Coturnix japonica: one gene and its partners. The protein of the gene in region 2 purifies or fractionates together with the protein of the main gene of each other region. This does not show direct contact. Links are inferred from orthologs where the notes say so. Each region holds a gene or a part of one and is shown on either strand. Other genes may lie near its edges.

Region 1 (10,533 bases), on a different chromosome or scaffold from region 2:
GTGTCTCACTCATGTACCAAGGTCCAAATTACCCTCCTTTATCCACAAGAGAAGCTTCCATTGAATATTCTTTTCTGATTCTGCATTGGTTGTTCCCTGTGCAGACTGAATTGCCTTTGGACAGCTGCCGTCTGTGGGAAGCAGGAAGAGCTTTTGCACCTAACATCGCTTTGAAATGCTCTTTTCTTTAAGAAGCAAGTGAAGCAGAGTAGGAAGGCTGATGTAATGCCAGTAATAAGCAACCTGATATTACTTATTAACGCTAGCCAATTTTATGCTACAAAGCATTCAAAGGGAGAAAGGTCTTGTTGCACAGAGCATTTAAATATTTGAAACTAGGCAAAACATGGTGAAAACGTCTGGAAGAGATGGTTCTGAGTGAAAAACAGGAAAAAAGGGGACCATCTGAGATTTACCAAGTAATCTTTGCAACAAGCAATTCCTTGTGTTTGAATTGGGGAAAAACAAGGGAAAACCCTCCTCTACTGTGATAGTTGGCATAAAACATCAGAGTAATGTACAGCTTATATTACTGACAGGTGAGGCAAGAACCATACTAGATCCTGGCTCAGTATTTAACCGTAAATTGCATTACTGACAGTGCACTTTCTGAAGTGGAATCAGAAAAACAACTACCAGTCGGTGCAAACAACTTCACAACCTATACTGAAAGAGCACTTTGCTTTGGAGAGAACTGGAAAGGTGGTAGAATCACTGTCACTTAGTCCCGAGTCTGAGATTTAAGGCCTTTCTAACTTTACAGCCCTGATTTGAGAATCACTGGGTGAAACCCAACAGCTTGCATTACGAAAGTCAAACAATATTCTGATCTTAAAAGCTGTGAGTCAGTATGATATCACAGGAAAAGAAAATATACTTGATATCCATTAATTGTACATTTTATTTTGTGTGCTTATTTTAGCCCCAGAATTCTGAATTTTGGCACTCTTAGCTGAGATAGCTTGTTAGTTTATTTTTTAACTCCTACAGCATCATCCTTACAGAGAGAGCAATATAAATTTCAATTCTGTGTGTTTTTTTTCTCTCTATCATTCACCTCCCTTTACTACTCATGCCTGCTGTAGGCACACATCTGCATTCCATTTATGAAGCACAAGAACTAAGTTGGTCAACATTACTCGACCTGCTCTTTTTGTCAGCACTGCCTTTATGCACCTCTGGTTAGATGCTTAAAAACAAGAAGAGTTGGTCCCTGTAGAAATAATTCAATCTTGCAGGGGGGTATTTGAAATACATGGCACTGAGCTCTGCTTCTAATCAGACTCCAAATAAAATAGCACAAAGGAAGGTATCAAGGTAAAATAGAGATTACCTGTGCAAGGGAACTCCCTTCCTCTTTCTTATCGTATGCATTAAGATCATTATTTCATTTTGAGACGTAAAAGCTGTGTTGCCCCTAGTTTCCATTTGCTTCCAGTCTTGAACAAACACGGCTAGATTTACATGCATAGAATAATCTTTACAAATCCAGAACATCGTGAACATCTATTGTCACCTAATGCATTTTTAAACAATGCTTTGTGATGTGGTGGTTCTCATTCAGCAGATTGAGCAAATTCTTATTACTTTTTTTTTTTTTTTAAATTTGTTTTCATTAATAAAATCAATAATTCACTGTGGATTTCAGTCACACAGACGATTACCATAGATTTTTTTTGCTTGATCACATGCATGTTTAAACTGTTTTTATCTAGTACGTCTCTGTACAATTCATTGATGGTCAAGCGGAGCGTCATGTAATCTCAAGGAGCAATTGTGGGTGCAGCTTGAAAACAAAATGATTGCAAAGATAAGGGTCTTCCAGCATGTAACTGCTGGATCATTTAACAGTGTTTATTTCCAGGCCTCAATTCGCCTAACCATTTCTTAGCACAAACTCACACTGGAAAAACACATTAACTGAACTTGGCAGAAGCTTCTCATTTAAGGAATAACAAAAAAATCAGGAACAAGCTTTGAGCTCTTTCACCATGTGTATCCCCTTCGAAAGAAACAAAAGAAACCTGGAGAATGTCAACAGTGCTGTGAAAGAAAACGCTCGTCCTCTGTGACCTGAATTTGTCGGGTTTTCATTAGGCTCAGTGTGGGCAGAGTAAGGAAGGAGCTCTCAGTTCAAGCAGAACTGGAACTCGACAGATCCTTGGCTGCTCTTCCTGGAGCGTGACAGTGCAGGAATTACAATGCCAATGTTTCAGGAATTCTAACTGGGAATGAACTGCCTATTCACAGTCATGCACAACGAAACAGAAGCTACTGTCAGTAATACCATATGACTACTTTCCTCCTACAGCTCTTAGAATTGACAAAGAAAACTATCCTCTTGATTTTAAACCTATATGAAGTGGCTCAGAATGTGGTATCCTTTCTTTTATCTGCTATGTTGACTGCCTGGACTTTAAGTTGTCAAAAGTAAGTCACTCTATGTTTCTAGTTAGAAAAAAATCCCAGGAGTAAAACTGCAAACAAATCACCAGAGATGCTGCAAGACTATTCCAACCATGCTTGGAAAATTGGGATCACACTTCCTATATTCAGAAACAAGAAACCATTGATTTTGTGTGTGCAAGCAAGAATGGTGTTTTTAGGACATAAGAGTCCACGCTTCCTAATTTCAGGATAATCACACTTAGGAAGATGTATTTTAACTAAAACATGGCTAGTGCCAAATCTGTTAAGCAAAACCACTTTATACTGATCCTGTCCAATTCTTTGAATTCATCAGTGCTTTATATCAAGTTGAAACAAGCAGAACAGCAAGATTAAATTGATTTCTCCTTAAAACAGATGGAAGGTCTTAAAATACAGTTTGGTTAGAGGGCAGTAAGGCACGGGAGCTGTTACAGGGAGCAAAACAGAAACTGGGTCCTGCTACTGACCTGCTGAGCAATTTAGGTCCTTTCATCACCTCCCCAGCTTTAGTAATTCCTGTAAGTTGTTAGTAATGCCATACTCTTAATAGAGCAGGTTAAGAACAAGTGTTGGATCAGTGCAGCTGTTAATCCTGTAACTTAAAGACTTCATTTTGATTTGGGTCTTATGCTCGATTGTGAGGTCTAGCACAAAATGCTGTAGTTAAAGTGCCCATAAAAGCTTTCTCTTGCTTAGCCAATACCTAAATCCAGAACCAACTGTGTTTCCTTTTATTATCTTATTTTTCAAATGTAAATTTTCCAAGCTTCTACATTTCAATCTGTTTTTTCATCTTTCTACTTCTACCCTAAACTGGCCTGATGAGAGCTGATTTCATGCCTGCTCTCATGTTCCTTTGCTCCTGACTCAAATGGCAATTCAGCCTGTAAGCATTATCAGATAGTGTAGTGTATTACACGTGATGCCCATGCTCCAAAAACTCAGCATGCTGTCAGGACACTATCAAGAAAGCCACAGAACTGAGAGCTTTCATCCCTTCTTTGGAGACTAAGCTAGTCTCCAAAGCTAGTCTGAGTTTAACTGTATCTGCAAAGGATGAATAGACTTTTGTATAAAAGGGAAGGAAGGGGTAGGATTATATACATTCCCATCCATTTGGGGAGGAAAGTAGGGAGTGAAATGTAAAGGAAGAAACTCGGGGACCCACAAGAGGGTTCCCTCACTTCAACAAAGACAACTTGCCGCCCTTCTGAACTAAGAGTTTAGTAACTCTCAGTGCTCTGTAGCCAAGGTGGTTTGAAAACACACCTTGCAAAAGGCAAAAGCCCAGGAAGGAGGTTAAGGGTCTCTGGCGAACGCTCTAACATGGCAATTGTTCTTTTCCTTCCACAGATGACAGTTCTGCCTGTCTGGGTTCAACATGTTCTCGTTGGTTGGGTTTGGGTGGAGCGGTGTTGAGTAAGCTGGTAGTTATGGATACCATTGAGGTATCTATCTTTCCCCATATATTGCAGGTGATTGTGGGAGAATGGCACAGGGTTATGTGCTGTGGCAAACAGGAACCTAGAGATTGTATGTTGCCACATTTAATTATTAGTCACCTAGATTCCTTTTGCCTCTGCTTCTTTGTAGTTAGGAAGCAATAGTAACTGCAATAAAAATTCTTCAGTTCTTCAATCAAGCCAAAATACGGTATTAATGGTAAGGAATGAAAATACCTACATGCCTTTTGCACCTATATGCCCCTCAAAAATAATCCAAGACCACCACATAGGGTTCTGAGCGAAGAGTGGCAACAACTAAGTTCTTATATTCCTTACCATTGCTTCTTGGGCTCAGCAGTCATATTCTGGCCTGCTTCACATCTAATACCATCCTACTGAATAAGGTGTGAGTCCCACCATAAACTTATTGCTTAAAAGAAGTCTCCTCACATACCATATGTTGTTAAATTAATCTGATTAAAGCTCATCCCAGTGGGATTGTTCTACCTGAAACCAGAGGCTGTAGCTGTTTCCCAGAAGTGTTTTATCTCATCTCCCTCAGAAGCCATTTAGCTTTGATTGTTTTTTCCTCACCTGCTGTTGCAAGCTGCTTCACATATGGCTCAGTTTTGACAGTAAGGCCCTCTCCTGCTTCCTAGGATCATGCAACAAGAAGGGAATATAGCTGTGAGTTCTACCAGTCTCTGCACCCCTCCCTTCTCTCAAATTTAAAGCAAAGGCAATTACCTCAATTGAATGTGGCACTACCAGTGACTGCCTAGTACTATCTGATACGGGACCTGGAGGAAAACTCAGGGCCGTGTTTTTGTTACTGTCCCTTGGCATTCCCCAGGGTCTCCACAACCCTTATCTTTGACACGTGCTGGCTGTTACCTTGTTTTGAAGCTTCCTTTCTTGAAATGAGGATGTTGAAGACAGCAGCTCGGATCTGCACGTTTCCTTACCCTCGCAGCTCACCCACATGCCATTGCCGGCACACCGGAAGACCTGTGTCCTATGGTCCGTTGCCTGTGACAACGTAAATACGATCTGTTCTCACACCCCAGCGGGCGGGAGGCCACAGCTCCTGCAGGCAAAGCACCTGGGGGCTGTGCAGGAGCAGGGCAGTGGATGAAGGGTGGGTATAGGCACAGACAGCGTGTCATCCATCTCTGCGTGTCTGCGAATCGGTTGGTTGGTTGCACAATCCTGATCTCAGAGCACGGCCAGCTGGAGCAGCCTGCTCACTGTATAGTTTTTAAACTTAGGTGGATTTTCAGACTTTTATTTCATGCTGAAAACGTGCTTTAATACAAAAAACCATTCTGCCTTTTGCTTGAAGAGGAGGCAGGGGCAGGTGCCGGTGCCGGTCGCCATGTTGCGGTGAGGGTCTCCCGCTTCTGGCCGGGCACGGGGCGTGGGCCGCACCTGTTGCATCGCTCCAAGGGCGCTCCCACCCGGGCCGGGGTCCTCGGTCCTCGCCCTGGGGTCTGGAAGCGCGGCCGGCTGGGCGTCGGGCCGCTGGGCGAGGCCGCCCCGTGCTCGCAGAGCGAGGGGGGGAGCGGTGGGGAATGGCCGGTGGCGGGTGAGTCACCCGCGGCCCCACCTGCTACTTAACTGCCGCCGGGCGGCCGGCGCCGCACTCGCGGGTTGTGCCGTCGCCGTGGCAGGGAGCGGCTCTCATTCCTCCTCCCCTTCACAGGGCGCTCGGCTGAGGCGGGGCAGCTGCTGCATGAGCGTTGCTCACTGGAGCCGGGGAAGCACTGACAGCGCTGAAAATGCCGAAACCGGTAAGTGAGGCGCGGGGGCTGCCCGCGTGTCCGGTGGGGTCGTGCCTCCCGTTGGATGAAGCCGCGCCGGGGCTCCGCCAAGGGCGCCCAGGGAAGCTCCGTGAGGCGCGGACGGAGCCGCGAGGTCCCGCGGAAGCTCCGGAGCCGCCCGAAAGGCAGCTTCGAACGGGAGGAGCGGGCGGAACGGCTCGGCGGCTCGATTCAAACGCGGAACCGCCCTAGGGAGCCATGCTGAAACTTGGGCCGCTCGCCCAGCGGCGGTTGGAGGGGAGGGCCGCGCCCCGGGGCTGCTCAATGCCGTGCCCGGCAGGGAGCCGGCCAAGGCCGGGAGGCTGCGGGCCTCGGAGCGCCCCGACCGGGATCAGGGGTGCTCGTCGGGCGCCGAAAGGAAGGGCTTAGTGTGCTGCCAGGTCCGTGAGGTGGCGAAACAGCACCGGCTCTCACTTGGTATTTGTGAATGCTGAATGACAGGTCCTCGTTTCTTGCCTTCGTGATTAAAAACTTAAGGTTCAGGGGATCATTGTACCGCTCCCCACGGTGCTACCGCTGGGTCTGTTGCCAGGTAGCCTCTAACAGTCTTCGTTAAAGCGTTTCTGTTCTTTGCTTTCCTTTTTTTTCAGTTGAACCAACTTGAATACCTTCAAACTTTCTTGTTGTGGGAGCCCCCTCCTGCGTCGGTTTGCTCATGGTTTTGTTTTTTTTTCAGACTGTTTTGCTTTGAATTCTGCTGCCACCCTGGCAGTTAGAAACGGTAATTCCCTTGAGGAGCTGGCTGGTGCAGAGCTGCCTGTGCTCATGGAAGCAGACAGCTTTGGAACTCTGAAGAGCATAACCAGAGCAGATTGTGGCTGTCTGTTTCCAACAGAGGCAGCACTTAAAGCACAGCACAGTAAAGAACTTCCAAGATTATTAGCTACACCCTTTGGAAGGAGACTAGACGAGCTTATCCTTGGGGTAATGAGCAATGGATGTTCTGCTACTGTAACGCTGAATTTAACTTAGTTAAGAAGAGCTTAGATTAATTTACACTGCAGATTCTGTAAACTTAGGGGGAACAAATGAGGAAAAAAACTCTTCCTTTGAATTCTTTGAAGAGTGCTAAATCTTCATTCTCCCTGGATGTATTTAATCAACAGGAGGCGATATTGGAAGCCATGAGTAGGTGTGGGAAAAATCTCTTTATCTCTCTGCGGAAGGACAGCCATGCTTTAATGGTTTCTGAGACGTGACCTACTGTCCGGGATATATGGAGAAGACTCTGTTCAGTTTGTGTGGAATAAGCTCTTCTTTTTGCAACCTGCATTCGGTCCCCACCTTTCAATGGGGCTGACTGCCACCTTAGTGAATGCAGATGAGGAGAATTCTGTGGAGGATGTCTGAACAGAATGCTTTGGTCTGACTGCTGCAGATCGAGACGGTGTGTTTGGATCCTTCAAATCCAGCTCATTTGTTCTTAGTGCAGCTAAATAGGATTCCTATCACTTTGCAGGGTGAGGTAGGGACGGGTGTGAAGTTGTCGCTCCAGAGCAGAACTGTGCTCAGAAGGAGAATGATAAGAGCCTTTGATGTGTGTGGGGACTGATACCGTGAACTCGTAGGAAATGAAGAGGCAGTTTTTGTTTGATAGGTCAAATACAAAGGTACAAAATAGATTCTACCTACACTTGTTCATGTGTGTCTTGTCAGCTTGGCATAAGTAAATACAATGTTGTTTGGCAGACCTCGTGCTGATAGGGATGTGGTTTTACAAGCCGGTCATCGGTTGTCATCTTAAACATTTTATGTCTAAGCAGATAATTACCACCACGGTTTCAGCATTTGCTTTCTACCTGTCCCCAAAGCAATGAAGGTAAACTTCCATACAGAGCTTTTGTTGTTAGAAAAAATACGTGCACAGAGAGCTTACAGACTGGAATTCAGTCTTTCACACTAAATAAGTCCAGTGAGAGTAAAACATGAGTGATTTTGTATTTTAGTAATGTACCATAGTGAAGTACTAGAAAGCCAAGTGCACGCCAGGTTCTGTACCGGTGCTTTATCGCTGTTTGTTGGATCAGACACACGTCTAGAGTGCTCAAAATAAATCTTGGCAACGTTTCAGGAAATAATTCTGAGATCTTTGATAATAAAGACAACTGTTAATTCCTAATTTATAATTAAACACAGACTTTCTGCCACGTATAACAGTTATAGAGTAACGAGATCACTGGGGTGTGCTGTAAATATGTAACTTCTGGTTCTCAGCTCTTAAGGGTTTTAGGTGGAAATTCACCAGCAGTTCAGAAGCTGAACTTCCATCTAGTCTGAATGATAGTTCATAAGGTTTCACAAATGGTAAATTATTGCATAAAGAAACAGAAGAGATGTTATCTTGTCCAAATCTTGCTTTGTTTTCTGAGAACAAGCAAAGTGTGCAATAAACTGACTTGATCAGCGTTGCATCTTTTCTTTACTGAAGTGTCTGTGTGTGCACTGTGTTTTCCCTTGATCTGTATGTTACTAGCTTATTTCTGTTTGACTCATTGCATGGATGGTGTTCCAGCTGAATTACATCCTTTGGCAAAGCAAGCCAGTCACATAGAGCCACAGGGCTGCGGGCTACTGAGCATTACTTACAGAAGGAGAAGGAAATGTGATCTCTGCTCCAGAGACCTGTTAATTTGATCTGACCTATCAGCATTCTGTGGTCCTTTTTTGAAAGTAGATTATTCTTTCTCCTCTTAGGAAATCTTGAGAGGGGAAAGGAAGCATCACAAGAAATGATGTCAGCTTTGCAGTAGAGCATTTCAAGTAATGCCACACGAGAACCTTTAATACATCTGTGTTTTTGTAACAGTCTTAAAGATAGGTCAGCAATACATGCAGTCTATCAACTTCTGGTGCTAAAAGAGAATACAGGGAGAATATCCAGGCACCATTTTCTAATGTGTTTAATAATAGCTTATGTTCAGAGAGCTGAGCATACCAACAATACCTGCCAGTGTTGGGGGGCATAGTGTTGATGCAGAGAGCCATCATATGTAGGAGTAGAAAGCACATATGTTATAAAACAAACTAAAAACACCAAAACCTATCCTAATAATAATTAGTTAATTAATAATAATTAAACTTGGAGGTGTGGTGGAAAGAGGTCCCTCAATGTGTAGAACAGATTGATATGAATTAGTTGTTGATAGGATGGACTGTCTTGTCCATTGATCTGCAATGTGTGGGGTTTCCCTGATGGAAAGCACTAATAGAAGGTGTTAGGAAAATTCTTGAAGATAGGTTGTCGTTTCTGTTTTTGTCCAGAAAACACAAATTCTAAGCAGAACCTGGAGAAGGATTTGGGGTTGATTGTAGGAGGAAGGCCTCCTCGCAAAAGGGGAGATAGTTTAGTTTAAAATATGAAGGATTTAACTATCAAAGAAAGGGAGGATTTGCTTTAGGCAAGGCTTATAGTTAAGGGGACTTGTGAATATCAGAGCAGTTCAGTTTCTGGTTGCTTTCTCCCCTTGGAGTGTTCTAAGACCTAATGCCCTTAATTAAGATAAAGTCTGATGAGGACACATTGTAGTGCTGCTGCCTGTAGGAGTGTGCAGCTGGAACTGATGACTCAAAAGGCTTTTCCCAGTCCTGTGTTATTAATGTTCTAGTGTGTGCCTGGCACCAAGTGGTTAGACAAGTCCTCCATACCTGTTTGTTATTGAATATACATGCATTCTAAAAATGGACATGAGGACGGCATGTAAGTCTTCAAGGCAAACCTTTATCGGTCTGTGAACGCTTAATGGCATTACAATTCAATGTTTGTCATAAGCCAACCGGAAGAGCTAGAAGTGTAGCAACAGGGATTTACTCTAAAAACTAATAATCATTGATATTTTCTAGATCTTCCCAATTTTGTCTTAACTGTGTCTTCTAACTGCACGTGATAGTTTGGTCTTCAATTTCTTCACAGCAGATTTCTATAACAGGGCTGAAATAAAAAGAAAAACCTTTAGAGATAGTAAGTAATTAACATACTCTTAGCTTATGGGTAGCTATGGATTTATGCAGTAATAAGATAGGTTTTTTTTCTTGTGAGCACAAATTGCAATATGTCAGATGATACGGTATTTAGTGTGGTTGATACCAAGGGTGCACACAGTGGTGCAAAATGGAAGAAACTTAATATCAACCAATTGTGCAGTCTCACCCCAGGCTTCAAAAGGAAGTTGAAGGATTCTACTATTAGTAAGTGTAGGGAATAGTTAACAAATAGTTAAAGGTGGAAGAGAATGAGCTCACAATTGTGCCAAAATCCAAATTACTGTATGAGCTGAATAAGCATTCCTGAGGTCAGTCTGTTCTTGCTAGCTGCCTTAGAGAAATCAAGTGTTAACTGTTCACGTTAGACACTACTTAAAGAATTTCTCGGCCTTCTTGAAGGACAGAGGGTGGAGATAAGCCTTCCTGTTCTCCTTCCGTCCATGTGAACGTCCTCCTCTGTTCTCAGTAAATAAATAAATAAAAAATCAGTGACATGTCAGGACTTTTTGAGAATAATTCTTCTTGATGCCTACTGAAGGTTCCTGCTTCAGCGTCGTTGTTGTTTGGCACGCTGTGTCCGAAGGGCTTTATGTGCACTGTAAATCCCATAATCACTCAATTGACCTTGAAGGAAGGCAGTGCTGCCTAAGATCGTTGAACCACACTACGCACTGTTAAGTAATATATCTTGGCTGTGCCGCGGGGTTGTTTTTGAAACCTGGTTTCAGCATTAGGTAATACTTAGTCTCTGAGCTGAGAAATGCTTCTCCATGGAAGCAACTGAAGTTTCAGGCTTTTACTGAGCAGTGCACAGAATTTTTTCCTTCTAGGAAGAGGAAACAGTCCTTTCCATGTGA
Region 2 (10,410 bases):
AGGAAGCTATTTAAAAGCTTCCAATGTATTTGGGGCGAGGCTAAAGCAAATGAAAGGTCTACGATCACTACAATTCACAAACAGCAAAAGCAGCTGTAAGAACATCACCCACATTAACAGCTCCACTCATTCCAGAAACAGCTCCTTCCAGAAGGAGCAAAACCCAGCACTCGTACTGCTGTCCACACAGCAACAATCTGTTCAACTCCAGTCTCCAGCAGTGAGTGCACACCAAGCTCAGGCACAGCAGAGCCAGCACAACAGGTGGCTCCCTGCAGCACAGCCAGAAACCTCCACACCTTGCCACAGTGGAGAGTTTGCTAAAGAACATCTCTTTCCACTTTGAGTTGCTGGGGTACCCACACAAAAGCATCCATCACAGCAACAGAAAGAGCAGGAAGCCCTCACAAAAAGCAGTACCTAAAACACAGAGAAGCACTTACTTTTCACTCCTTTCCGGAATGTGTGCTGAATATACTTCAACCCTGACACAATCTCCCTGTTAACCTGCAGAGACAAGCAAAGACTGTCAAAGACGGATCTCCACATGCTGCCCACCCCACCCACTGCAGGGAAATATTTCCTCCATCACACCTATTTGGGGGCCCTATGATGGAGTTGCAGTGATCGGGTGCTCTAAATTTCACCAGTTGTTCAGTTTGCAGATCTGAATCCTTACCCTAAAGGAGATTTTTATCCGGTATTCCACACCTTCTTTCAGCACAAAAGCTTGCTTCTTGTAGCTCTCCAGGTCACCTACACAGAAAGTAAACAATTGCTCTGAGTCCATTTGCATCGTGCTTTGGAAAGGATTTCAGCTATAAAAGGTGAAATGGAAAGTATCTGCAGCAGGGGACTGGACCCTTACTGGTTGTACAGCATGCATTTTATCCTTTTATTCTTGCAATTCAGGACTCTCCTTGATATGCTGCTTGTGCTACTTGAGGTGGCCAAGTGCTCCCCCAAGAAAGGGAACTGCAGCATAACAGTGCACTTAACTCAAGGATGTTCCTTTGTAAATGTCTGCTCCAAAGCTGTCACCATCTTGAAGCTGCTATTAGTGCGGCTGTGCAGGCTGGAGGACGGCTGGCTCCCCCAGCTGGCAGCTCAGACATTTATAAAACTAAGGCATGCAATATAGAGAAAGCTGAAAGGCCTTTGCTGAGATAGGGCTGCTGAGATGCAAGCTGAGGTGGGAAATCCTCTTGACCACGGCACCTGGCTCTGCATCCAGCAAAGAGGCATTTTGGACATGCAGGTGAGCTGCCCACCACAGCATCAGTGCCTTGGCAACACCTCCCTGAAGACCCCACATTAACCAGCGTTGACTCAGAGAAGGGCTGCTTTTGTTTCCCAGCCTACCTGTCAGGTCCAGCTCCAGAGGGCCAGGAGCAGTAGTACAGACCAACGTCAGTTTGGTCACCACCACATTTGGAGCATTGGGATCTAGAAGACAAAAATAAAAGGCTGTTAAACAACTAGCCCTTGTACCAAGCAACTCGTTTCCCCTTCCACGGAAGTTCTTGAAAGAGTGAGAAAACCAGTGAGGGCTCCAACCTGTGTGATTTACACCCAGCCCACACACTCTCCCAGAACATCTCCCTCAGAGGTCAGAAAACAACCCCTCAGTCCCACTGCTTTATTCCAGGGGCCACTGAATAGTGGCAGACACTGCCCCTTGTGCTCCTGGCTATACTCACACCAAGTCACAAAGAGCTGGGGAGAGAACAGCTCCCAGACAGGAGCAGAGCTGAGGCCGGGGAGCCAGAGGTGGAGCTCACCTGCAGTCACGGTGACAGCACCGAGCAGTGCCTCCTTGTACTTGCGCAGACTCTCATCATCCTTGTCCAACTCCTGGATCTCCTGGATGCTCTTCTGGGCAGGTGGCTTATAGTTGACGGAGTGTTCGTCCTCCTCATTCTCAGCTGCGATTTGGGCCAGCTGCTCTGCTGTTGGCTCCTGCTCTGCCATCTTCACACACGCGAGTTACACTGAAGCAGGGAGGAGACGTTTAACTGTAGCTATCTGCTGCATATTGGCATAAACCAGCCATCCCAAAACAGCCCTGACTCCACAGGTCCCTCTCCCACCAGGTTCCCCACTCCAGAGGCACATTGCTGTCAAGGACCTGTGCCCCCCCCAGCCTGCCCTCGGCAGCCAAGATCCCATTTTCAGCCCTTACAAGAGGATTGGGAAAAGTAATCAGCCTCTGTGCTTTGTTCAGCAGCTGCAACAGAGAAATAGCCCACGCCATAGAAAAAAACAACTCCTCCACATGAACAGCTCAGTGATGCTTTCACTTGCAATCAGCTTGAGCCCAGAATAAACCCAGTTCAGTTCTGCTTCTCCATAGTACAACCTGGTGAGGAGAAGAACAGGCCCAGCCCCACCGCTGGCCCAAATGCCAGAAGCCTCAGCTGCAATCTGGAGCTCACAGTTTGTAATTCAATCAGAATCTACAATGGAAGGAGACACCTGGCTCAGCTGACCTCATCCTGATCCTTTCCAAAGATATGTGTCACAGAGCTGGGCAAACACATGGGTTGAAGACCGGTGTGTAGATTGGCACTGCTTTGTAAGCCCCAGAGCACAGTGTAACCAGGAAACACCCAGCTGAGAGCTGGTCCAACAGCCATCAAAACACCAGGAAAAAGTGTCAGTAATTCCTGATGCATCACAAGGAGTGCTGCCCTACGGGTGATCCTACAGCAAACATCAGCTTGGACTGCTCTGAGGGCTTAAAAACACTCAGCTGACAACTTTTGAAAGGCTTCTCAGACAAAATCCTCCACAAATGACGTGCAGATGGATGCAGGTATTCCCGTTATTACCTGGCATTTCCACGTCCCATTCTGCATTCCTGTCTGGAGTCGTGTATCAGCACACATGACTCAGACTGGAAAACTGCATTCTTTGCTCTGCCATCCAGTTTCCAAATAAATCAACACTATGATCTTAATTCTGATCTCCACGTGCCCCCACAGAAGACCAGGATACATCCAGAAATGCTGACTTGTAAAGGAAAACCCAAAGTCTGCAGCACAGGCTATGCTACGTAAGCCAACTGCTATTTGCTCTTCTCCTCTTGGAACTAGCTGACATAACAGCCCTTAACTCAACGACTTCATTCCTACCCAATGTGTCACCCAGACAGGGAGAGAAAAACCTGAGCGCTGGCACTGAGCACACACAGCTCACAGAGCACATTGTGCAGTGACACAAGACAAGTTGTGTCTGCCTCCATCTTGAGCCTGGCGACAGCTGCAAGAGCACAACAGCAGAGGTATGTGTAGATGGTGTTTTTAGCCATAAATATTAGGAATGTTCTGCCAAGGAGACAAATTAGAGTGATATGTTGCACATCTCTGCCTGATGACTATGGCTGATCCAGGGTATGAGAGCGGCCTCCAGCACAGCACCAGGGCTGTAGCTCAATGCTGGCACTGAGATGAGGTGCTGTCAGATCCCGTGTGGGTGAACCCCCAGCCAAACACAAGAGCAAATCTGAGCTGCCCTGGGCTGGCAGCACCTCCCAGGGAGGCTGGGGCACCAACATGGGTGCACAAAGGGTACTTGCAGCGGGCATCAAAACCTGACTGAGCTCTACCAGCAGAAAGGGATTCTCCAGGTCCCTGGCACTGATTGCCATGGAAATTTACATTCAAATCTTATGCCATACATGAGCAACCGAGTAGCTCTCACCCTAGAAAATCCATATCGAAACCAGTCATTTCCTTTAGGCTCCCATCCAAGAAAGCTTCCAGGCTTGAAGGCTCCCAAAAGTGTTCAACAAACACTCACTCAAGCATTTGTTCCAGTGCTTAATCTCATTTTGCCCTCAGTTTCAGCTCCAAGCCAGACTTCACCCCTCCCCTCCCTCCCCCACGAGCACCCCATGGAAGTCCATGGGTGAAAAGTGGCTCTTCAAACTGACCCAAAGTTACCAGAAACAGCAAGCAATGTTCCAAACAGCAGCTCAAGACAGGCTGGGTCTCAGCTCTGCAAGGAAGCACAGGAAAAATGTGCAGCGAGGCCTGGAGGAGCCTCATGGAGCTGGCTGCACCACAGCCCCTCTGCTGCAGTGTTCTGATGGCATCGTGCTCCCACTGCGCCCGGCTGACCCTGCTCCCAGCACACAGCATTGTGCAGCCTCACATCACAGTGCTCAGCTGCTGCCCTGAGTATTCTGCCAGGGAGAAAGGAGGCTCCCAGCAGCATCAGGCTGCTCCGTGCTTCTATAACAATGCATTTCCTACAGCCTAGAATGAGTAGAACAGAGCTGGTCGGGTGCATGCAGGAGGAGCTGTCGTACTGCTAGGCAGAGCAGAGCTGAGGGACTCAACACACTGGAACACTGGGTCGGGCATCCATCTCATGCCATGCCCAACGTCCTGTAGGATCATGGCTCCAGCACATGCTGCTGCAGAGGTGGGGGCAGAGGAACGGGGACCTGAGGCCACAACCCCTTCAGAGGGCTCAGCCTCGTGACTGAAACCTCCCAGAACACCAACCTCCAGCAGCAATGGCACCTTCAGCCCTGAGCCTCACACCCAGGCACCACCCCAAGGCCTCTGCAAGGAATTCCCCCTCAGCAACTTTGAAACCCGGAAGGCACCTGCACACCCTGTGCGGCACCGCCCGAGCCCATGGCTCTGACTGCAGACACACCTGGCTCACAGAACAGTGCAGCTGCTGCCTCTGTGCCACCCTGCACTCAACCACAGGAGAGCACTGCGGCCTCAGGGATGTCCCAGAATGTCTGGAAATGGAAGCTCTGCTGGTTACTGGGGCCTGCAGAAAGCAGCAGAAACCAAATTATTTCCCATCTGCAGATCTGCACTCAGCTGCCTGCGCCGCTTCCTGAAGTCAGCAGTTTCTCCTGAGTTCTCTCAGTATTTTTAGTTCGATACCAAGGAGCGAACAGCAGTGAACACACGAGCCCCACCTTCTGCCAGATAGAAACACTGCTAGGAAAAGAACACCGTTATCAGGCAGGGATGAGCAGTGATTTCTTTACATGCCAGGGCCACGATCCCAAGGTACTTGTGCAGTGACATAAGAGTGGTCAGAGTCTTTACAGATGACCTAATTGGCTTCGGACATCCGTCAGGCCTCAGCTCAGCCACGGACACACACAGCGCCAATTCAAGCAGTCCACACCCTTCCTTTTTTCGCTGCAGCACAAGGGAAAGCTGATGAAGCTGCACAGCAAAGCCACTTGGAATCCAATGTGGCTTTCTGCAAGGTTACTTCCCACACAGGTCGGTTCAACCACCCTGGTTCATCTCAGGGCTGCATAAGCTGCTGTGCTGCAGAAACAGGAAGCAAGAGCTGCTAAAACCAGTTCAAGCAGCACAGACACCCCGTATGATGGCAGCTCGAGGGGCCAGACGTGAGCTTGCCCAGAGCCAGGTCTAATTGCGTGGCAGCAGCAGAGCAGTGACCCCCCCCCAGTGCTGCCTGCAGGCAGGTTTAGCCTCAGGAGCACAGCGCTGGGTGCTCCCACAGCATTGCTGAGCTGCTTTATGAGCATGGAGATCTCCCGCCTTGCCCTAAGGCTGATCCCTGTCACAGCTCCAGGCGTGGGGAGGAGCTGTGGGTCGCACAGCAGCTGCTGCCAGGTGCTCTGCAGCCAGATCCGCAGTTGTGCACCGTGCTGGTGACACTGCCCTGCACTGCACAACACCTGCAGGTATCACCTGCCACGAGCATCACCCGAGAACGAGCAGACAGCTCCCACTGCTTATCGGATTTAAGAAGCCCTTGCAGCCTCGTACTCAAACAAGCTGCACGGTGAGCACTATGCACCTGTAAGTACAACGACTGCAGAGCTACAGCACGACCACACTGCAGGAGCTGCAAATGTCTCCTGGGCACCACGTGGAAGCGGCCGCCACTCAGCATCTCTGGGACAAGAACGGGACCACTGCAAGAGAACCGAGCCCATAGAGCACTATATAGAGCACTACGGCCGGGACCTGAAGCTCTCACAGCGATAATTGAGTGCTACAACCGAGAGCTCTTTAAGAGAAGGAAGTCACGGCTTCACGCAACGCGCCCGCCCAGGCAGGGAAACGGCACCATCCTTCCGGCACGGCCATGAGGCCCCGCAGCCCGGACAGCGCTCACTGCCGCTCCATCCTCCATCCTGCACCCGGTGCTGCACCGACGTCTCGGCTCTAACGCCAAACGAACCCAACCGTGGGGAAGTCGCCTTCAAGTTCCTCCTTTCAAAGCTCGAAACCATTTATGGAGAATCTATTTGAAGCCAGCGGGTCCCCACCCGGCTCCGGTCCGACAGCGGCGGCCGGGGCGGCCTCAAGGCACGAAGGCGCCGCTCTTCGCTCCGCTCCCCGCCGCGCACCCGGACGGCGCCCGCTGCCCCCTCGGCCGCGCCCCGGACCCTGGCGTGGCGCTGAGCCCGCGGGACCCGGCCCGGCCGCAGCGCACATGGCGGATCCCGGCGCCCCCCGCCCCGCTCCCTTGGCCCCGCCCCGCCCGGTCCCGCCGTCCCGGCCGCTCTCACCGTCCGCGCCGCGGTCCAACGCCGCCGGGATCCGCCCAGCCGCCCGCGCACCCCCGCACTTCCGGGACACGCCCGTCACTTCCCGTTATACGAGGGCGTGTCCCGCTCCTCACTTCCTGCCTCGACGCTGCGTTCTGATTGGCTCAGGGAGTACGCGCGCGTTCGCCGCGCAGCGCGGGCGCGGGAAAGGAGCGCGCGGCAGGGAGCAGGCGGAGCTCTAGACACGGTTCTATTTTATTACGGCAAAGGTGAAAAAGCCACCTCGGCCCAACAGGCAACCAGTAAAATTTATCCCAAAAATAACTCGGTACAAAACGGGTCTGGCTTCAGAATTAAAAAAAACCTTTACATGAGTTTAAAACCTATTCCAAAACATAAAAGTAAAACAAATCCCATCCTTGATATTAGTAGCCACAGTCGCACACCCCTCCCGCCACACAGCATGGAATGAGATGTCTGCAGTCCTTCCATGCGCCGCTCAACGCTTTAGCTGGTGTCCATCTGGAAGAGAACAGAGAGGAGCGTCAGCAGCCACCATGACCCCATAACCCACCATGGCCCCATAACCCACCACGGCCCCATAACCCACCATGACCCCACAACCCACCATGGCCCCACAACCCCCCAGCTCCATCCCCAACCCTGACACCCCCCAGCCCTGCCTGCCAACCCCAGGATGCTGCTGCCTCAATGGCGGAGATGCAGCCCAATCCACAGCACACACTGAGCAGACCTAAACTGCACCTCAGTGCTTGGGCCAAGTCCCTGCATCACTTCTTAACTGATTCTCAGTTAAGACTTTAGTCTTGTTGTGGCACAATATCTGAGCTCATTCTGAATGAAAGAAACCATGTGCACTGCTCTGCTCATCCACCTGCATTAGGGGTGATCAGCATCATTGACTTTTTTTCCTTTCTTAGCACCAAGCTGGTTATTTTATGTGTTTTTTCTTTTTGCTTTTCATTTTTCCAGCCTATTATCCCTTTGGGCTTTGGTTCATAGCTTTCGTTCATCACACATCTTGATTACTGCCAATTCTGGTTGACACAGGCTTCAACAAGCCAGGAGAAGTTGGAAAAGGGGCTATTTATTACTCATGAGTAACAGTAGATGTGGAGAGCTAAGGCAGCTGAAGGAACAGGGCAATGCTCAGCTTTAGAGGGAGGCTATTTAAGTCAAATGACCTGAAAAACAATTTCTCTTTCCAGCCAGCTGCCAGTGTTTATCAAAAGGACGCTGTAGGTACCCGTGACCATCATGTGAGCAGCACTTACCCTGGCATTGTAAGCATCCAGCTGTGCATCTAGTTCTTCTGCAGAGAGCTGCTGTTTGGAAGTTCTTCCAGCCCCTCTGCCTCTCCCTCTGCTCCCACCACGACTACCTCGCCTGGTACCTCCACCACCAAATCCTCCTGTACCACCACGGTTTCTGGTCATTCCACCTCTGTTTACACTGTGATTTTTAAAAAGCAACTGTTATAGTGCATTCTGGTTAACCCCAACAGGCACTCAGAAGGTTGCAGGACACGAGGAGGATTCCATGCTTCCTACACAGGCCAGTTCACTCCCCGTGCTGACTGGCACAGCGACTCCCGCGGCTTCTCACCTCTGTGCTGGTCTCCTCTGTGTATCTATCTGTGATGTAACCAGCTGAATGTTCATGGGGCGCCCTGCAGGAAAAGCAGCCAGTTACCCTGTGAGTGTGGCAGGCACACAGATGCCATCAGCCGTGCAGAGAAGCACACGACAGCCACAGAGACTCACCATCCAAGGGGACTCCATTGTACTGCTTCATAGCTTTCAGAGCATCTGCTTTCCTTTCAAAATGCACATCTGCTGTTCCTAGACTGCGTCCGGATCTGTCGTAGTGCACTGCTGCCTTCTTCAAGGTCCCAAATTCCGCAAAGAGTTCCTGAGAAACAGAGGGAGAAGTGAATATGCTTCAGTCAGCTCTGCAAACACCGAGCAGCCCAGAGAAGGTGCAGGCAGCTCCTGCTTTCAGCAATATCATGTACATTCCATGACACCACGCAAATAGCACCAGTGAAAGAAGGAACACAGGCCACTAAAGACTTCCAGAAAGCAGCCACAGGTGGCAGAAACAAACAGGATTTCATATCCACCACTTGAAGGGTGCTTGTATACAGCCAACAAAGTGGCCCCAAGGTATGCTGACCTGCTCCTCTTCCCAGGGACATTGCCAGTCTGTATAAACTGAAAGCAGGAAATCTTCTACTGAAGAGCATCGTTTACCATCACGAGCGATGGAAGGCTGCAACAGTGGAGCCACCCATTTTGTTTCACAGAGGCTACATCTAAGATGTACATCTGGGGACATCTCACTACTTTGCAAGTTTATACCTACACCCCACTCTTCAAATGTTTGAAGCACACAGAATTGTCAGGTGTCCAAAGCAGACACCACAGGCTGCCTTCCATATCACCTGCAGCAGAGCCCAAACACTATTCCAGCCATCTCTATAATTCCTATCCAAGCATTTGAAAGGAGCATATAAATATTTTCACTTCTTAAGCCAGCTGCACTTTATGCAAGCCTGTCAGTGAGTTTCTCTACTGTGTCCATTTACTAAACATGAACATACAGCACCCAACAAGCTTTCTGGAAGACAGCACCACATGGGAGGAGAGGTGCTCCATCACATCCCTGTCCTGCAGAGAAGCTGGAGCCACAGCACCACACATACTCCTACAAGAGCAACGTGAACGAGGCTCCCACCAAGCCCCTCATTCCTCAGCACTGAGCTGAGCAGAACCATATTAATGACACAATCAGCACAGAAACAAAGAAAACAATCAGTGCAGCTTAGTGGAAAATTACGGGATGGGCAGTAACAAAGAGGTACAAACCCATTAAGTCAGCTTTGCTGCTACATATAATATACACAGATGTTTGTCTGCTCCTGCAGTTCAAGCCAACTGTGAAAAGGAAACATTCAACTGCCACACAAAACACATTAATTCCTTACATTGAGATAACTTTACAGATTCACTTTTACACGTTTGGGCCTGATTACAGCAAACAGGAAATGTATATCAACTGAAACTAAACTCACTTGAGGAAAAAACAGTGGTTTTAAGTGCATCGCTCAATAACTAGGTGACCTAAAAAAGCTCACTTCCAATACTCCTGATGCAGACAGGTTGAACCGGAATGAATTAACAGAAGAAAACATAGAAGTGATTTAGTTATTTTTTTCTAGAGGAGATGCAAGGACCAGAAACCATCCAAAGCTCTTTGCAATGTGACTAAGTCAGGAAAACCCTTCAGATTGGATGCTCCTTGGATCTGCAGATGTTTCTGCACAACTTGTTGCCCACAAGTAAGAGCAGCCCCACAGCTGTGACTGCTGTGTCACAGGCACAGTGACTGCAAACAGCCTGCACCCAGGGCACAGCTGGAACAAGGGATTGAGCTGCAGCTGGTAACTCAGCTAGAACATTTATCTGTCATAAGATACATGTGGTAATTGTGGAAATGACAACATGAGCGAGCAGGTACCCCCTCACAGACCAGACTTCTCAATATCACTGGTGCTTCTATAAGAACACCTTGAGACTGAACAAAACTTTAACAAAAAGTACATAAACAGGTACTATGAAAACAGCGCCAATAGATGTATATATAGAGCTACTGAACGTCTGGAATTACACAGACCTTAAAAGCTCACACAGCCTGTGCTAAGCTCTGCAATCACAGCAGGACTGAGCGAAGGCAACATCCCCCCCACAGCATCGTGGTAGAGATATTTCATATGTGATTACCTACAGCTCCATAAAGACTGGGACTCTTCTGAATCCAGCCACTCCAACTGCTCAGCTCAGAGCCCCAGCAGTGCGTGAAGCAAAGGGCCAGGCACCGTGTGA
Region 3 (10,517 bases), on a different chromosome or scaffold from region 2:
ACATCACTGCGGGGAAGTGATGGAGCCTCATCCCCTCTCACCTCACAATCCCACATCCCAGGTGGGCTCTGTGGAGGAGTTCCAGGGTCAGGAACGTCGCGTCATCCTCATCTCCACCGTGCGCAGCTGCAGTGAGTACCTGCAGCTGGACCAGACCTTCCGCCTGGGCTTCCTCAAGAACCCCAAGGTGTGACCCCCCAGCTCCCCAGCAGAGCTGCTATGGGCACAGGTGCCCCATAGCCAGGAGGTGAACACAAGGGAAACCCCAACTCTGCTCTCTTGCTCAGAGGCTCAACGTGGCACTCACACGGGCAAAGGCGCTGCTGATCGTGGTGGGTAACCCAGCCGTGCTCAGCAAGGACCCACACTGGCACAGGTGAGCCCTGCACCCCCCAAGCTCTCCCACAGCCCCACACCCGCTGCCCACACCCCACTGTGTCCCCAGGTTCCTCAGATATTGCCGGGATGAGGGTGCCTACAAGGGGTACCCCTATGAGGAGGAGCCCCCCAATGAAGACAGCCTTGCCAACCACCTCGACGCCCTGCAGCTCGGCAATTAGCAGCCAGGTAATGCATGGCTCAGCACGGGCAGGAGCTGCTCTCTCTCTGCCGCTCCCCATCCCTGTGCAGGAGCCCAGCACAGCCCCATGGAGCTCCAGCATCTCCAGCCCAGCCCCATCCCACAGCCACCTCCTGCTCTTCCCTTTGGAGCCAGGCTGTGCACCAGGATGGGTCCTATCAGCTCTCCTGCATAGGGCTGTAGTTGAACCCCGGGACCACCAATGTTTTATCTTTTTTAAATCTTCAGCAGTGTTTTTTATACATCTGTAGAAAAATCAATTGTGCTGTGACTTCTGGCCCCAGCCCGCAGGCTGAGCCACGTGCAGCACACCTACCTTTGTGTCCTTGGAATAAATGTTCAGAGAAAAACACTCTGTTATTGAGTCCTGGGCGCTGCGTGGGAGCAGCACAGGGTCTGCAGGGGCAGCCAGAGGGATGCCACACACGCAGTGTTACAATTACTCACATACCAGTTTGTATTTATTTCTCCCAGTTACTCAGCTGGTGCTAAGAGTCTGTGAGGGCCATGGACTCGAAGAAGGCACCATCATTCTAATGCTGGACATGGGGACAAGGCATTGCCCTGGGGCAGTCCCAGGGTGCAGGGCACTGCTGGCACTCCTCACAGCACAGCACTGCAGGACAGGGCTGAGCACAGCCCAGGTGAGTCCATATAAAAGGCCATGGGGCAGATGGGGCCAGCACACTGCAGGGGGAGCAGCCAGCAGCCCCCGCTTCTGCCAACCCTGCTCAAGGCAGGGAGACCACACAGCCCATAGGGAGTGATGGGGAACGAAGGCATCGCCCCCCAGCGTGGCACAGGGGTGCCCCCAATGGCTGGGGACAGCTCTGGGGCAGAGGGTTGGGGACAGGCATGGAGCAGAGCCCTCCCTGCTCACAGCAGCGGGCAGCCCCGGCGCTTCTTGTTCTTGCGGACCTGCAGCCCTGCACGTGTGGCCATCTCAAAGACCTCCCGCACTCCTTCCTTGGTCTTGGCTGAGCACTCGAGGTAGCCGAAGGCATTGATCCGGTTGGCCATGTCTCTCCCCTCCTCTGGTTTCACAGGCTCCTGGGCAGCATTAAAAAGGAGGGTTGGAAATACCACCAGGAGCAAGAAGCCTTCAGGGCATCCTCCATGCCCAGATCAGGGCTGCAGGAGGGAAGCCCCAGCAAAATAGCCCAGGGTGAGGGGATCCCAGCACTGGCACCCCACTGAGCACACACCCAACCTCACCTGCTTCATCTTTGCTAGTTCTCGCCTCGTGTGCTCATCATTGCGTAGGTCCTTCTTGTTTCCTACCAAGATGATAGGCACGTTGGGGCAGAAGTGCTTCACCTCCGGGGTCCACTTCTCAGGGATGTTCTCTGCGAGGAGCAGAGTGCAGCTATGAGCTATGGGGCATTGGGACACACAGCAGTGCTGCTGCTCCATGCAGGGCAGGAGGAGAGCACGACAAGCTGCAGCCCTGCGCTGTGAAGGGGAGCAGGGAAAAATGCCTTTGCTGATCCCCAAAACCACCCCCCAGCTGGGCACAGAGCAGCCTCTCCCAGCACCTCCATTGTGCACCAGTTCCCAGCATCTTCCTGGAGTAAGGAAAAAGCTGGGGGTGGAATGAGAGACTTAACACCCCCAGAGTGGCATATGGACTTCCCAGAACCCACTATGCCAGCAGAATCTCAGCCAACAGGACCCCATGATGCACCCCCTGCTCCCTACCGAGGCTGTCTGGGCTGTCAATAGAAAAGCACATGAGGATGACATCGGTGTCCGGGTATGAAAGAGGCCGCAGCCGGTCATAGTCCTCCTGCCCAGCTGTGTCCCATAGTGCCAGCTCCACCTGTGGGCAGAAAGACATCACTCAGCACCTTACAGACCCCACCAGGCAGCTCATAGGGTACTTAGTCTTCCTCATCTGCAGTGAGGAGGGTCCTTTGCAAACTGGGGTAACCCAAAAACAAGGGTGCTGCAGGGCTCACTCTCAAATGCAGCATCCCATCACCACCTGCACAGGGCAGGGTCCTTACCTGCTTCCCATCCACCTCAATATCGGCAATGTAGTTCTCAAACACGGTTGGCACATAGACCTCAGGGAACTGGTCTTTGCTGAAGACGATCAGCAGGCACGTCTTCCCGCAGGCACCATCGCCCACAATCACCAGCTTCTTCCTGATGGCTGCCATCACTGCAAGGACAAGAATGAGGGTGAATGGGGCTACAGGCTGCAGCTGCACCAGGACTGCTGCCAGGTCCAACAGTTCTTTGGCATCTCCAACTCCTCTGAAACCTCAACACAGAGCCTGAGCCATTTCTTAGGCCCTGTAGATGATCCCATCAATTCAACATCCCCACAGAAACCCCAGACAAGGCACATGATGACAGCTCATGCTTCAGTCCCCATGCAGGCACACTCTGCTCCGTGCAGAGGAGGCTGCAGCCCACTGCAATCCACTGGTGGGGCCCCAGAGCTGCCGGGGGCTGCATCCATCCTAACCTGGGGAGGGGTCAGCATCACCCTGAGCCCTGCCCAAGGCTGCAGTGACTCACAGGGCAGAGGCCCTGTCCCCGCCCAAAATCTCAGCACAATTCATTCCATTACTCACCCAGCAGCCCAGAAATAGCCCATTGCTAACACACAGCCAGCCTCCAAACAGCAGGGAGGAGGTGGGGAGTAGTGCAGCCACGGTGCCCCTCAGGCTGCCCTATCCCTGTGGGCACCCAGAGTGGCACCAAGTAGCTATTCTAAGGTCACCACCAGTAACACAGCAAGGGCTCTGGCACAGCTGCTTCAGGAGGAGCTCAGCTTCAGGCTGAGCTTCGTGCCTCAAAAACTGAAATTCCTGCTGAGCAGGAAATGGGGAATTCCTGGTAGGATGCATCTTTCACCCAGTTTCTGTTCCTGAACCTCAGGAAATGGCACAAAATGACGTCAGTGCTTTGAAGAAGGGATCGGTCCAGGGACAGAAACCTTCCCGCTGGCCTCTCCTCCTGAGACCCCATCCCCAAAGCCCATCACACCAGCCCTGACCCCACAGCACTGCACATCTATGGGGGGCAAACAGATCTCCAAGGAGAGCAGCCGTCTCCATCTGCCTGGTATTGCTGTGTCTGCAGCCTCTGCTGAACCTCAGTGTTTAACAAACAAGCGTCCTGGGCACTCAGACTGTTTGGATTTACTCCTGTTTGGAAGGAGCTGGGCTAATCACAGCACAAACCAGGCTCAAGGCTAGAACATCACCATGCAGTTCGCTGGGTTTCACTCCCTCAGGCGCTCAGGCAGCACAACCTGTGACACAGAGGAGACCTAAGGAATCCTGCAGCACCCAAAGAGCACGAAACCCCAGCAGGGAACACAAACGGCGCTTTCCAACCAGTGCAGCCAAGGACAGCAGTCTCCACTTCTAAACATGGCTTTGTGTGTTCAAAGGGCTGCAGCCGCACCCCAACGCACGCCAGGCAGGGTCATATCGGGACAGGCCCTGGGGGAGGTGCAGCCCAGGGTGGGCACGGAGCATCCCTGGAGTGCTTCAGGGCTGCAGCTGAGCCCAGAGTTAAAGGGAAGGTATTTGGGGACAGTGACAGAGGCACATTGCAATCATCACGACTCCAGCAGAAAGTCCCACGGCACAGGATGAGTTCCTGGCAAGGTTCAGGAATGGGGGGAGCCTCAGAAGCAGAACAAGATTCCAAAAACAGCTGGGAAGGAGCAGTGACACCAAGGCACAGCACAGCAGCAAGGAAGTTCAGGCTTTGGGGTCCCGGTTGCGAAAGCTTGGAGCTGTTCCTAAGGTCTGATCAGACACACTGTGCTACACCAAGCAACAACACAGCAGCGGATCAGGGCTGCTCTGCAGACAAGGGGCAGAGCAGGCAGTTTTCATTGCCAAATCCCACAAAAACATCCACAAGCAAAGCAAAGAAAGGGATTTGGAGCAGAAGAATGTTAAAACCCAAACTGGGCTTGAGCTGGGAGCACTCTGTGGGAAAACACGTGGCATTGCTGCCCAGCAAACCCAGAGCTGCACACCCCGCAGTGCTGGTGCTCACTGGGCAGATACTGTGAAACCAACACATGATACCAACCCTGACCGGCGCTTGGAGTCTTACTGTAACCCATTTAAATGTCTTCTGTTTCAGGATGACATCCAAGGCAGCAAAAACATCACATGTGCACAAAGCCTCTTAGACTGAAACTCACAGCTCTGGCTTCAGGACTGCAGCCACAGCCTCCTACTTTTACACATCACTGGGCTAAAGAAGAGATGCCAACAGTTTATACACGGTCAATGAACCAGCAAGGCTCCTCAAGTGCTGTATTTCAGCTGGATACACTGAGAACTCAGCCTGCTGCAGCACTACTGCTGCCTCAGGAGCCCCACGCTGTCCCCACCTCCTCCATCCACCACGTTCTTATCTTCCATCCCACAGAAGCACCTTCCCCAGCTGTAGCAGCACCAGTATCTGCCAGATGACACTCCCAGGCCAGGCAGGTGGTTGTGTTTGTGCCTCACAGCTGATCCCTATTTGCAAACACATTCCGGACTTCCCATGTTCACACACAGCCCCATCCTGGCACATGCTCTGAGCTGCCAAGCGAGCCAGGTTAAGCACACCCAATATCCACTGGCATCATCCCAATAGCTACCTATGAAACGTTTCCCTGGACAAGCCGAAGCTGTCAGGAGTCAATTTAAAGCACATAAAATCTCACGCAGCTGTAACCGTGCTAGAGAGGACCATAGATTCAAGGCAAGGCGCTGGGAAGGAGGAAATGGGAGCGCAGACGGCCTTATAGTGTCGGGGGGGATCGGGCGGTCGCTGCCCGATTTGGTGCTGGAGCGCCGGGGTTGCTCATGGTTCTGGAATGCTTTTCTGCTCTGAGACATTGCACAATTGTTTCTGCTCCTCCGTCTGCCCCCCTTGTATAAATGTTTACAAATGAGCTCAGCTCTAAGCAAAGCGAACTTTTATCCTTTCACGAAGAAAATACAGCGCTGCTGTATCGGAGGCGGCTCCGTGCGGGACGGCTCCAACCCCTCTTCGCCTCCGGGACCCGGCCCGACCGGGACCGCACGCAGCACCGCCCCATGGCGCACCGCTACGCGCTCAGTCCCATCATAACCCCGCAAGCCCCCAATAGCGATCCCCGCACCCCTTGAGCTCCCCGCAGCGCCCGCATCCCGAGCACAACCCGTACCTCTCTAGGGCACGGCACGGCACGGCACGGCACGGCTCCCTCTCCCGGTCCCGATGCCGGCTCCAACCCCAGCCCCACAGCCCGGCTCCGGCAGCACCGCCCCGTTTTGGGGCCGCCCGCTGAGGGGCGGAGCTGAACCGAACCGAGCCGAGCCGTGGTGTGCCGGGGGCTCCACTCCCAGCCCAGCTCCTGCCCCGCCCTGGCAGCGGGGTTACGTCGGAGCCCAGGCCATGCCCTGTAAGTCGTTTCTATTTTAAGATTTCGGAGACGCGTTCTCCTTAATTTATCCCTCCCCGGGCCAGCAGCTGGCTCCAAAGGAAACGTTTCTTTAGTAAAGAAGGGAACCGCAGAGGAAGCGCTAAATTCAGCCTCTGCCCGCTATGCCCCTCCCCGGCCGGCAGCCGTGGGGGCACCGGGCAGCGCAGCCCCAACCCCGCAGCCCCGGGTGGGAGCAACGCAAGGGAGGAGGGACAGCGGCTCACATGGCACCCAACCTGCCTACACGAATTAATCAGCGCTAATTGGCTTTGAAGTTAGTCGTCTTTGCGGGAGCTCCGCAAGAAAGGCGCTGAGGTGGAACTGCGAGCGGCACGAGCTTTATTGAACCACACAAGGGCAGCTCCTTCAACCCCAGCATCATCCCCCTGCGACACAGAGATGCACAATGATGCACACAGGTACAAATGTCACGGGATAACTTTCACTCCCCACTAAGTGCACCCAGTTTATTTACGTCTCGCTTTGTGCTTTGCAGGGTGCAACACTGCAGAGGTGCAGGAAACTCATCATCCCCCAGGTGAGAGGTATAGCAGATGCAGGATACTGCAGAGAAAACAACTGCAGCTACAGCCCTGCCCAGAACCAGCTCCGAGTCTGGGGAAAAACCAGCCCACCCTATTTCCCAGCCACAACCAAGCTGCTTTTATTGCAGGCTTCCAACCCCCAGCTAAGCAGATTCATGCAGCATTTTAAGCTGTTAAGCTTGGCTGAACGGGGCTGCTCTGTAACTGCTGCTCGGCAGTTGCCAAATTAGAACCGCTCAGAAATAACAGACCTATATTCATACCGACTGCCACCTCACACCAAGAAGGAATTCAGACACTTTCCAGCTCAGCTCTCCAGTTAATAATAAATAATTGGCTCTAGAAATACAGCAGTGATCCAAGGCATGAAGAGAGGTGGTGGGCAGAGCCCATGGCACAGCCAGGGGCTGGCAAACACCATGAGAGTGCAACAGCTCATTTCCTCCCAGGTGCTCTGTGACTGAGCCCTGTCACGTCCACTGAAACCTGAGACCAAGGTAGTGTGCCCAGCTGAGGACAGGGCCCAGGAGCCAAAGAGGGCAAGCACAGGACTGGGGTATCCTTAGGGCTCACAGCACCTGCAGCTGGGATGGACACTATCCCACTGCCAGCAGGACCCCAATCCACACCCACCCCAAGGCAGAAGCTTCAGCATCCATGGTGTAAATGTCACAGGGAAGGAAAAGGAGGTGATTGCAGGAGAAAGCACAGACTTCACCGGGTACAGGCACTCAGAGCCCAGTCATAGGGCTGTAACCAGCACACCTGGACCAGGGCGAGGTGCTGAGCATGCACGGAGAAGCCAGAGAGCACTGAGGCTTTTCACAGCAACCAAGAAAACCAGCCCTTGAGCCCAGTCTCTGCTCTGTCCTTCCATCTCTACACAGGGCAGGGATGCAGTAGGTGAGGGGGGTGCTTTGGGCAGGAGGCTCCAAGATCCTCATTCTTCTTGTGGTCAGCTCAGGAATTGAGTGCTGGAGTGAGCGGTGCCTTGTGCAGTGCCAGCATCCTGCTCATGGCCATCCAGGCAGTGTGACCCCTCTGCCCAGTGCTGACAGATTATCACATGTAGTTGCCAGGGCCACCCAATGGGATCACAAACACAGAGATGTCATCGCCAGAGCCCAGCTTGTCGTTGGGCAGCCGCCAGCCTCGCTCCTTCAGGATGCCCCTGGAGCGCAGCACCAGCTCCTGGGCCACCATGGTGTACCTGGGCAGAGAACAGTGGTCAGCCCCAGCCCAGCAGGCATCGTGCTGCACCCCACTGCTGTCCCCAGGGTGAAGGAGAAGCTGAGGGAGCCAAAGGGGCAGGGAAGTGGGTCTGGGAAAGCTCAGATACATGCATACAGAGGAGCACTGTGTACAGAGGGATATGTGGCCACAACACTGCTCCAAGCAAGATGCTATGGTGCAGGACATACCTGTCTGTCTCCCCCTCACCTGCACGGGTCATTGGGCTCATAGCTTGTCAGCACCTCCATCACCACGCTGGCCACTTCCTTGTCATTGGTGACATCCCAGAGCCCATCAGTACCCAGGACCAGGACATCATCGGGGCAGTGTTCATACTGTGTGAGGTCATACACCCTGACCTGGGAAACATTGGGACAGGACATGAGGGTGATAGTGGGCTCATGGACATCCCAACACCACCAGGTGCATTGAGCACTCTCTGAGATCACCCCAATCAGCTCCAGCCATCACAAGAGCCTTTGGGCTCACCTCTGGAAAGCAGGACAGGAAAGGCTTAATGTGGATGTTGGAGCTGAACACCTTGAGGTCGTGGTCTCCCAGACCCCGCGTCACCCCAATAGTGGCCATCACCCGAGCCTGGAGAAAGGCAAAATCAAAAGCAAGCTTTAAGCTACCTCACCTCTGGGAGAAGAGATGATACACATGGCATTGGCACCCTGACAGCACTGGGAAAAATGGGCTGGGACCCCCATTTCAGCAAGGGCAGACAGGGGATGACCCCTGCACAGTGCCAGGGCCCCCACCTCCCAGGGCAGCAGGGACCCCTCCCCTCACATCCCAGCATTGTACCTTTTTGCCTTCCCCATAGATTAGTGGAAACTTCAGGTCATCCTCTTCGATCTTTTTGTAAGCCCTGTATGAAACAAGCAGAAGCAACCTGTTGGCCAGTGCCCTGGGATGAGACCCCTTTGGTACATGGGGAAGGGGCTGGAGCTGTGGCAGACCCAGACAGCACAGTACCAGCCGTTCATGCTCTGGTCTCTGTACAGCATCTTCTTCCCCAGCTCCTTGGGCTGAATCCTGCGGGGGAACTCAAGGTGCGTGAACTCCTTTCCCAGCAGCTCAGGTCTCAGGAACGCCTGCAGGAAGGGGCAGAGAGCTCAGCTGCAGCAATGGGAGAGCAGGGTCCTGCCCAGCACCACCCTTTGACTTATGGCAGTGTTGGTGCTCAGGCACAGAGAGCCCTGGCCACAGCCCAGCTACTGTGCAGTGGAGCAAGCACAACGCCTGGCCCTCTGCCCATGAGTGCATCACAGCTGGGGAGGATCTTGCTTACAGCAACTTCTTCCCCTCAGTCATTCAAACACAGACATGAGAAAAAGTAGCACGGTGCTCTCTCAGATATGCTGCAAGGCAGGAAATCCCATCCAGCACGACCTCCTCTAACATAAACACCTCCTCAGTGCCCAGCAGCAAGAGGGGCAGCCTCAGGCAGGGCTCAGGAGGTGGGTGAGCAGGAGTCAGGTTAGAAGAAAGGTCTTCCTTACTAAGAACTGTAGCCTCTGCCTCTCTGTCTCTGGAGTAAACTCCCTGGACATTGGAATGATTTCCCCGTTACGGATGATAATGGCCCTGCAATGAGACATGGAAGGATGAGGTTAGAGAAGAGGAGAGGTCCTCTCCCCACTGCCCACCAGCCGAGCCCTGCAGCCCAGCACCCAGGGCAGGGGAGGGAAGACGGGGAAATGGAAGAGAAGCATGGGGCAAATGGAAGGCAAACTATGGTTGGAAGAGAAGCAGCACAAAGGTTATTAAGCCTCCACCTCGTGCAGCGTAGGCAGAAGTTGCCAGCAGCAGGACATGGGTGCAAGTGCCCAGCACTGGGGTTGAGCTCCCTGCAGGAGGGCTGAGGTTTGGATGGCTTAAAAAATGGCTGCTTATGAGATGTTCCTGGAGGTCCCAGGGAGTTGGGGATCTCTTGACACTTCTGGCCCACCTGTCCTACTTGCTGTCCTGCCGAGGGCTAAAGATCCCCTGCAGGGCCCAGGTGAGCCCAGCTCTGGTGGGGTTTGGTGCAATCCCTGGGAAGGCAGGGATCAAGTGCCAGAGGTGGGGAAGGAATTCTGCAGCTCCCTCAGTGCTGCAGACACACACAGACAGCACAGTGTGGAAACTGAGGTGCACCTCAGTCTGGCTGGGGCCATACGTACCTGCTGTCACCAGCGTTGGCCACGTAGAACTTGCCCATGAGGTAGACAACAGCCAGGGCACAGCAGCCCCCAGAGATGTGCTGGGATGCCCGTTCCTGCTCGATCTGCTCGTCCTGGAGAGATGGAGAGCTGTGGGCAGAATGGGAAGCAGCCCTTGCCAGCAAGCAGAGCTCCAAGGAGTCCGAAATAGCTCTGAGCTGCCCTGTCAGCACCCTGGCTGCCAGCTGAGGCTGGGCACATCGCCCTGCTCACCCCAAGGTCTTGTGTGCAGCCCAGGACACAGCCTCCCCAGCACTGCGGAGGAGGCAGCAGCTGGAACAAAGCCCAGTGAAACCGTCTTCACACACAGAGCCCAAAGCCTGTGTGTTTTGTGCCCCCAAAATGAGGCAGAGCAATAGGGCAGGAGCTGCCCTGCAGACCAGGGAGGAGACAGGAGCAAAGCAAATGCTGCCAGTCAGCAGCTGCAGCTCACCATGTGTTTGAAGGCATTCTCAATGGCACCGATCACCAGGCTCTCATGGGAAACTGCCTTCTCCAGGTGAAAGCGTGGCAGA

What was found.
Region 1: the proteins of ARHGDIA (region 2) and EZR purify together in Homo sapiens (co-purification; 3 studies listed by BioGRID and IntAct, with this or other methods). This does not show direct contact. The link is inferred for Coturnix japonica from reciprocal best matches to the Homo sapiens genes ARHGDIA and EZR.
Region 3: the proteins of ARHGDIA (region 2) and RHOC purify together in Homo sapiens (affinity purification with mass spectrometry; 4 studies listed by BioGRID and IntAct, with this or other methods). This does not show direct contact. The link is inferred for Coturnix japonica from reciprocal best matches to the Homo sapiens genes ARHGDIA and RHOC.

The regions. Positions count from the first base shown.
Region 1 is NC_029518.1:47,136,415-47,146,947, reverse strand, and holds the start of EZR (ezrin), read left to right. Parts: upstream 1-5,532; 5' UTR 5,533-5,653; coding exon 5,654-5,665; intron 5,666-5,671; exon of another isoform or gene 5,672-6,619; intron 6,620-6,801; exon of another isoform or gene 6,802-8,100; intron 8,101-10,533. UniProt on the Homo sapiens protein: Probably involved in connections of major cytoskeletal structures to the plasma membrane. In epithelial cells, required for the formation of microvilli and membrane ruffles on the apical pole. Along with PLEKHG6, required for normal macropinocytosis.
Region 2 is NC_029533.1:4,447,559-4,457,968, reverse strand, and holds the start of ARHGDIA (rho GDP-dissociation inhibitor 1), read right to left. Parts: upstream 6,645-10,410; 5' UTR 6,527-6,644; intron 1,992-6,526; 5' UTR 1,972-1,991; coding exon 1,782-1,971; intron 1,447-1,781; coding exon 1,363-1,446; intron 757-1,362; coding exon 680-756; intron 508-679; coding exon 444-507; intron 1-443. Other genes in the region: ALYREF (THO complex subunit 4), read right to left, coding at 7,013-7,027, 7,801-7,978, 8,132-8,195, 8,290-8,437. UniProt on the Homo sapiens protein: Controls Rho proteins homeostasis. Regulates the GDP/GTP exchange reaction of the Rho proteins by inhibiting the dissociation of GDP from them, and the subsequent binding of GTP to them.
Region 3 is NC_029541.1:3,627,916-3,638,432, forward strand, and holds RHOC (rho-related GTP-binding protein RhoC), read right to left. Parts: upstream 5,883-10,517; 5' UTR 5,757-5,882; intron 3,182-5,756; exon of another isoform or gene 3,163-3,181; intron 3,073-3,162; exon of another isoform or gene 3,054-3,072; intron 2,745-3,053; 5' UTR 2,743-2,744; coding exon 2,587-2,742; intron 2,400-2,586; coding exon 2,279-2,399; intron 1,927-2,278; coding exon 1,796-1,926; intron 1,631-1,795; coding exon 1,457-1,630; 3' UTR 1,014-1,456; downstream 1-1,013. Other genes in the region: MOV10 (helicase MOV-10), read left to right, coding at 62-187, 288-376, 446-560; PPM1J (protein phosphatase 1J), read right to left, coding at 7,622-7,769, 8,000-8,151, 8,282-8,389, 8,603-8,666, 8,774-8,892, 9,301-9,385, 9,964-10,076, 10,436-10,517. UniProt on the Homo sapiens protein: Regulates a signal transduction pathway linking plasma membrane receptors to the assembly of focal adhesions and actin stress fibers.